2 linked regions of the Oryctolagus cuniculus genome follow. The protein of the gene in region 1 purifies or fractionates together with the protein of each later gene. This does not show direct contact. Links are inferred from orthologs where the notes say so. Each region holds a gene or a part of one and is shown on either strand. Other genes may lie near its edges.

Region 1 (3,805 bases):
CCATGGCGTAGGACTCACTCAGCATCAGGATAAGGGATAGCGACTCTATGGATGTACAGAACCCTTCACCATGGTAAAGCTCGCTAACCCGCTGTACACGGAGTGGATTCTGGAGGCCATCAAGAAAGTGAAGAAGCAGAAACAGCGTCCGTCGGAGGAAAGGATATGCAACGCGGTCTCGTCATCCCACGGCTTGGATCGGAAGACCGTCTTAGAGCAGTTGGAGCTCAGTGTTAAAGATGGAACGATTTTAAAAGTCTCCAATAAAGGCCTCAATTCCTACAAAGATCCTGATAATCCTGGGCGAATAGCACTTCCTAAACCTCGGAACCATGGAAAGTTGGATAGCAAGCAGAATGTGGATTGGAATAAACTGATCAAAAGGGCGTTTGAGGGCTTGGCAGAGTCTGGTGGCTCCACTTTGAGAAGTATTGAACGTTTCTTGAAAGGGCAGAAGGATGTGTCTGCGTTATTTGGAGGCAGCGCTGCCTCTGGCTTTCACCAGCAGTTACGATTGGCCATCAAGCGTGCCGTTGGCCACGGCAGACTCCTTAAAGATGGACCTCTGTATCGGCTCAGCGCTAAAGCGAGCAGCCCGGAGGGGAAGGAGACGTGTGAGTCTCTTTCCTGCTTACCTCCGGTGTCGCTCCTTCCACACGAAAAGGACAAGGTAAGAGCGGTTGGTAGGCATCAGCGATCCTCCAGCTGGGGATCCAGGCCTGCGACAAGGTCACGTTCAGAGGGTGTTGACACTCACATGGAAGCCATATCCAGGTTTTGTGTGTGGGGACCTCTGTGGAGGGATCATGTGTGGTTGGTTATCATTGTGGCTGTGAGAACTTTAAATAAAGGTGCTGATGGTTCCGTTACTCTGAAATATTTGAAGCCTAAGATTCAAGGTGTAGAATGTTGATCTACCTGGAAGAACTTGTTTAGATTAGAATTAAAAATTGACAAATGACTTTAAGACTTATACATAAAAATTCTTAGGCGATCTGCCTAAGACAGTGCACTGCCTTGCTGAGTGGCCAGGTGCTGTAGTTGATGTGAATTTGAAACAAGCAGATGACTCCCAGAGCCTGTCTCTGTGTCTGCCCTCTTGTTGCAGGTTTGCATTAGGAGTGAGAGGATCTAATGCCCCGTGGGGGTGGCTCAGCCTACTTGGCGTTCTTGTTTCAGCTGTTTGCCGTACAGATTTTGTCTTGTGTTCTGGCGTCTGCGTGCGATGAGGTCCTCATGTTATGGAAGGCAGCTCTAGTTACGGGGCAGCCACACAGTGTCCTGACTCACAAACGTTCTGGAGAGCTCGGGTCTGGTGCACGGAGGGGAGGCCTTACAGCGCTGTGCGTGCCATGCCCGCACGCTGTGCAGCTGACAGGATGGTGTCTCTGCGGTAACTTTGGCTGCTACAAGATAATTTGGGAATGAGGAGAATTTTGTCAGTAGCCGGTTCCCCCCACTCCCAACACTGACTTAATAGCTGTCAATTTTATTTCAAGTGCTCTGAGTTGTAGTTCTTTGGGGAGCTCTGTTTTGGAGTTGGGTTCGCCCTGTGAACTTGGAATAGAAGCATTATCTATGGTTGTGACTGTTAAAGTCTTTCTCATAGCGTCATGAATGGGTAGAGTCCCATTCACCAGGCAGTTGTGGGGCACTCCTGTGTTTATGGAGGAGTGTTGATGGACAGGCCGCCAGCATGCTCTGTCTTGTAGTTCCGTGCTGTGGGAACCTGACCTGCTAAGAACCGTTCCCTGGTCATGTGGCTGAAGCTGAATAAAATGTAACAGCTGGATTCCTACACCTGTTACCCAGTGATTTCACAGGCTAACTGCTTGGAAGCGGGAAACTATAGTGCCGTACCTGTGAGTTGAATATTGTTAAGTTCTTGTTAGAGCACTTGGGTATTTGCTTTTCTAGTAATTCCCTTACTTGAATTAAATCTTTTAACTTTTGAAATATTAGTCGGACATAAAAACGTGAGTTGGGTGTCCATTTAAAAGATAGTCGGTGTGGTACAGTGAGGGAGAAGCCCCGGCACCCCGGGGTTGGACTTTTGAAAGGCAGCGTGGGAACCAAGGGGTCCAGCGAGCCTGGTTTTGCAGCTGAGCCTACGCCCTTTGCTGAGGCCATTGCCTGGCTGGCACCTTTGTATTTTAAGTTCGATTCAGTAAAGATCTGCTGGTTCACTTTGGTTAGAGAAACCTGACTGATTTCCCCGCTTTAATACATAGTATTGTTAACTGAAGTAACTAAGTGTAGAGTTTGCACTGGGGAAAATTGAGTTTCACTGAGTAGACGGCTTGTGGGTGCTGTTGTCTTTGGAAAGCTGATTTTATGATAACATCCTTAACGTTAGAGTTGATGAGATTTGTTCTTTGTATTTATTTGAGAGGCGGAGGGAGGGAGGGCGGGCGGAGGGAGGGAGGTACTCACAGGAGCAGGAGTGCATGCTTTCTCGGCTTGTTTACTCCTCGGGTGCCAGCCTTGGCAGGGTGCGGCTGCAGGAGTGGAAGCTGGGCGCCTGGAGCTCAGTCCAGGTTTCCCACGTGGGTGGCCGCATCCCAACTACTTGACAGCCAGAGTGTGCAGCAGGAGGAAGCTGGAGTCAGGAGCTGGGGGTGGGCTTGGACCCAGACACTGCCAGGGAGCAGATCTGTCCACCCGTGTCTTGGTCCTTGAGCCAGAGGCCCCCCCCCCCCCCCCCCCCCCGTTCTTTATTTTTCAGTGAGGTCTTTGAGGAAAGGTTTCCGAGGGACTCTCGCCAAGCTTGTGGAAAGCTCACACTCAGTCCTGACGCGGTGGACTCCGGGGGCGGGGTTGTTCCTCCGATGAGCATGCCCTGTCTGTGCCTTTATTGTGTTTCCACCGTTTTCCATCCCTTCCTTCAGACCAGCCAGCCCGTTCCTTTGCAGAATTGTTTGGCTTGCTGTTACGAACACAGAGAACCTTAAGTAAATAAACAAAATCCAGAGTTTATTTGACAGTGCTGGAGAAAGGAAGTACTTTTACTTTTAGGCATTAATTAATTCAGCAACTAGTTGCTGAGTGCTGCTGTGGGCCACACACTGTGCTGGGACTGAGATGGCTTTGTTTTCTCTGCAGTGCCGTCTTACCTGGCTGCTGTAGGGTGGGTGATGTGGAGTGGCCGGAGCCGGGGCCTGTTTACTTTTTCCTGTATCAATTCTGTTTACTTACTTGTGATACTAACTTTCGGGGGGGACCTGTAGAACCTGTTAGATTTTTAGCAGCTAGGTTATTTTTGTTCTTTTGGGGAGATCAACTGTACAGAAGTATTTTTAAGAGGCATTTTTGAGAATATCAGTGAACTTCAGTGTGTTCTTACATTAAATTTCCTTCATTATTTTTTATTTATTTGAGAGACAGCCTGCCATCTGCTGGTTTACTGCCCAAATGCCGACAGTGTCTGGTGCCACGCTGCGGCTGCAGTTCTGGTCTCCCACGGGCATGGCAGGAACCCAGCCACTTGGGCCATCACCACTGCCTGCTCTGGTCTGCAGGCAGGAAGCTGGTGTCAGAGAAGTCTGAGCTGGGAGTCAAATCCAGGTGCTCCCATGTGGGTCGCGGGCACCAGTCGCCAGGCTAAACGCCTGCTCCCTAGTGTATTTTCACACTGAACAGTATGGAGGTGGGGCCAGCGCGGTGCGGCAGGTGAAGTTGTGGCTTGCGACTCTGGCGTCCCATCTCAGAATGCTTGTTGGAGTCCTGACCACTCTGATTTGGATCCAGCTTTCTGCTGATGGATCTGGGGAGGTGCTGGAGGATGGCCCAAGTGCTTAGGCCCCTG
Region 2 (3,905 bases), on another chromosome or scaffold:
CACCCGCGACACTGCCGAGTCCCCTGCCCCAGAACTCAGCTCCCGCCTTGCTGAGCCCAACTCCTTCCCAGAGGACTGCCAGATGGTGCCCCCTCTCCCTTCTTCAATACTCACCGATAGGAAGCATTGGCTGGTTCTCACAGTATACACGGGGACAGTAGCCAAAGTCTCCCTGCTGGTACTTTTCCAACTGAAGGGAAAAAAATGGAAGGGATTGGTGGGTGGGTATGAGGATAAGCAGCGACCCCCACATAACTCTGTCCTCCACATTTCCTCCCTCTTCTTGGAGGTCCTTGTGCAGATCAAAGGGGCCCACCAACTTTCCCCCCAGTTAGGGAGGCTAATGACATCCAGGGCCATTTGCCGTCTGTTCTCTGAGGAAGAAGCAGTCCACAACTCTGACCAAGCTCACATCGCCCTCCCTGAAGACACCCCCTCAGCAGGACGTCCAGGGAGGACTCAGTTTCCCGGCCCAAACTCTGGGTTTTTCTCATCTCAGCTCGACTCCTTGACAGGGCTGCCAGATTACTGCTCACTGTAGGAACCTGTTTCCCTTACTGCCTCACAAGGAGTCACGCAGGCGCAGAGAGGCCTCACCATCTGGGCGATGCCTCGGTTGGTGAGGATGTAGCGGGCATGGATCAATCCGTAAAGCATCTCGGCCGCCTGCTCAATCAGGTCGCTCTGGTTGGGGTTGTCTTCCAGCTCTTCGTCTGAAATATGGGCCAGCCACATGCAACCACTGGCGTTCCAGCTTTCCCAGGTGCCCCGCCCACCCCCAGGGCTGTTGGCTGCCCAGTTTGCCCAGCACCCATCCTTGAGCTTCACCCAGTCCTCACGTGGGCATTTAACCTGGGTCTCTGCCCCTTCCACCAACCCAAGGAAGCCCAGCCTTCTCTCCACACCTCTTCAGCCTCTGCTCTCTTCTCTCCCTCCCAACTCCTTCCTTAGTACGTAAATACAAAGATGTCAACACAGAAGGTGGAACTCTAGACTGGAGGGTGCAAGGCAGGCAAAGAGGCAGTAAACAAGACCCGCGAGGAAACTCGCATAAGGAGGAGCGCTGAGCTACAAATTCAGAAAGTATGGCAGCAAGTGCTATCAGTCACAAAACTAGGCAAGAATTCAAGGAGGGGGGCAAAAATGCTGCTGGGACTTTGAGGTTAAGGGTGTCAGAGAACCAAAAGGAAGTTTAGAAATTCAAGAGGTAAATTCAAGAGGTAATTTGAAGAGAAAAACAGCCCCCCCACCATGAACCTTGAGGGTGTCTCACCAGGTTCCAGGTCCAAGATCATGTCTAGAGCTTGTCGATAGTGAGGCACCTGCTCATTGAGGCCGGTAAGGTTAAATTTGTCCTGGATGTAGTCTTCATCCACCTGGTAGAACACGGAGGTCAAGAGGAAAACTCCTACTGGGACCCCCAGCTTCTGAGCTGGCCAAGGTCACCTAACGAACGCCTTGTCGGCCACACGGCTGCGTCTGGTCTGCCTGTTTCCTACTCCAACTCAGCGTCAGTACTTCAGCCGCTGTCCCGAGTTCACACGCACGCCCTCCCCCCCGTGAAAGCTCCAGCTTCTCTCCTCCAAGGACAAGCAAGCACAGCAGTCTCCTTAGAGACACACTCGACTCCCGCGTCTCTAGTCCTGTTCCTCATCTCTAGGAACCAGTTCTGTCCTCTCCTGAGGGAACAGCTGCTCTCTGAGGAAGGTGGAGGCTGAACAGCTTGGTTTCTGAAGGTGGTTAGAATTCCTTATGTCAACACAGAGCTTTGCATGTTACAGAACATTTTAAGGTGCAGTATTCCAATTCTCCTAACAGCCCCCAGAGATAAGCACTACCAGTAGCATTCTAGTAATGAAAAAGCAAAGGAGAAAGGACACTTGGCACGGTGGTTCCTACATGGTTAGAGATAACCCACATCCCAAACTGGAATGCTCAGGTTCAAGTCCCAACTCCACTTCCAATTCCAGCTTCTTGCTAACACACACCCTGGAAGGTAGCAGGGTGATGGCACAAGTACTTGAGTCCCTGCCACCCACATGGGAAACCCAGGTAAGTTTTGGGATCTTTACTTCAGCCTGGCTGGTAGCAGTAGCTGTTGTAGAAATTTGGGACATAAACCAGTAGACAGAAGATCCTTCACTTTCTCTGTTGCTCTACCTTCAGATACTTTAAGTACAATAAAAAAATTAAAAAAGAAAAAGAAAAAAAAAAGATGGTCTGACTAGTTCAATGTTATCCTCCTGGGGGTGCGGTGGGGTGTGTGACAGAAATGGGACTTGGGCCCCAGTCTTGCCACATCGCCGCTGATTAGTGGGGGGTTACTGAGGGGACCCCTTCTTTCACGGGAAGGAGTTTCCACGGGATAAAGTGTGCAAAAGCTGAAGATACCCAACCTGAACGCATGGAACCAGCGAGTAGGAAGAACGAAAAGCACTCACTTCACAGAAGAATTCATTGCCACGGAGCCCACAAAACCAGGAAATCCAGGACACTTCCTCCGAGCTGCTCATCTTCACGTCAGCTGGAAACAGGAGTCAAGTCCAAGCTCTCCCTCCCCGGCTCTGGCACCTTCCCTCCTCCCACACTCTGTCTTTCAGCCATGGAAGAATTTGGGGCCACCCTTTTTTTTTTTTTTTTTTTTAAAGGATCCCAGCCTTTGGGACAGGCTTCTCTAGCTCTTGTTATTTACACCTCGGCCCCTTTTCTCTGAATGAACTTAGAAATTCCTTGGCAGGAGCCCACAAGTACCGACCCAGCAGTCCCTACCTACATCCCCCGCGCCCCCGATGGCCAGACCCCTCTCGCCTGTGTCAACTCTGGCAGAGTCCTCGGCTCGGGCTCCCTACCACCGCAGGGCTCCGGCACCCTTCCCCAAGAATTAGAAGTTTATCTTTGCCAAGCAACGACCGACACCTCCTTTTCTCACGACCCGGGGCGAGGGGCGGGCACCGCCAGGTACTCTTTCACGGAGTCCCCACAGCCTGCCTCCCGCTCTCCGGCCACCCTTCCCTCCCACGGTTACGGACCGGGTCACTTCCTTCCTCGCCCCCACCTCAAGGCGGGGAGACCCCATGTGCCGCTCCTAGGGACCGGGAACTCCGCGGGGCAACCACTTCACACTCACCAGCTGGACGGGGAGCGGGACCGGGGTGGGGGAGGGGAACAGCTGCTTCCAAAGAACGACGGCGACCGCTACAGCGAAGGCCGCGGACCCGACCGCGGCAGGCGAAGTCGGGTGGGGGGAGTGGAAATCGGGGAGGGTGGGGAAGAGGGCAACGCGCAAGCGCCGAGGGGCGAGAGCCGCGGTGGACGCTGGGAGATGGAGTCCGCTAGGGCGAGAGACCGGCGAAGCGAGGGAAAAGCGAACTACGAATCCCAGGACAGCTCACTCACGACCCTCGTGTCGCGAGGCCCCCGAGGACGCGGCTCGGGGGCGGGGCACAGCGAGGCGCCACCGGAAGCGGAAGCCAAGTAAGGCGTTCGGGGCCAGGAGCCTGGGAAATAGAGTCGTATGCTCACTGGACTGAGGGGCCAAGAGGGGGCGGGGGAAGAAGCGAGGCGAGTCGGGTCGCAGACGTTGCCCTCGGGGACCCTCAGTGAGCCCTGGCCAACCCTCCTAGTTCTTATCAAGTCGGGCACGGCCTTGCACAGGAGAGCCCCACGTTTTACCCTGAGCTCGGGCCTTCTGAGGTGGGAGGTACGAACGGGCTCCGTGCTGAGGGACCTGGGTCGGGTGTGTCTGTCCTGAGTTGAGCGTTATTGACAACCAGGACGGCCCGGTGCGCTAACCTGAGGCGGCGCCGGCCATCCTGCTGCTCGTCCCCTTGCACTTCTCCATTTCCTCCCAGGGCTTGAATGGGGTCTTCAGCTGAGGGCTCTACGCGTGCCCTTCGAACCTGCTC

The links.
Region 2: the proteins of KAT6A (region 1) and CSNK2B purify together in Homo sapiens (affinity purification with mass spectrometry; 3 studies listed by BioGRID and IntAct, with this or other methods). This does not show direct contact. The link is inferred for Oryctolagus cuniculus from reciprocal best matches to the Homo sapiens genes KAT6A and CSNK2B.

What each region holds. Positions count from the first base shown.
Region 1 is NC_091433.1:92,275,692-92,279,496, reverse strand, and holds part of KAT6A (histone acetyltransferase KAT6A), read left to right. Parts: 5' UTR 1-70; coding exon 71-670; intron 671-3,805. UniProt on the Homo sapiens protein: Histone acetyltransferase that acetylates lysine residues in histone H3 and histone H4 (in vitro). Component of the MOZ/MORF complex which has a histone H3 acetyltransferase activity. May act as a transcriptional coactivator for RUNX1 and RUNX2.
Region 2 is NC_091436.1:138,947,361-138,951,265, forward strand, and holds the start of CSNK2B (casein kinase II subunit beta), read right to left. Parts: upstream 2,533-3,905; 5' UTR 2,514-2,532; coding exon 2,442-2,513; intron 1,377-2,441; coding exon 1,274-1,376; intron 714-1,273; coding exon 598-713; intron 191-597; coding exon 115-190; intron 1-114. UniProt on the Homo sapiens protein: Regulatory subunit of casein kinase II/CK2.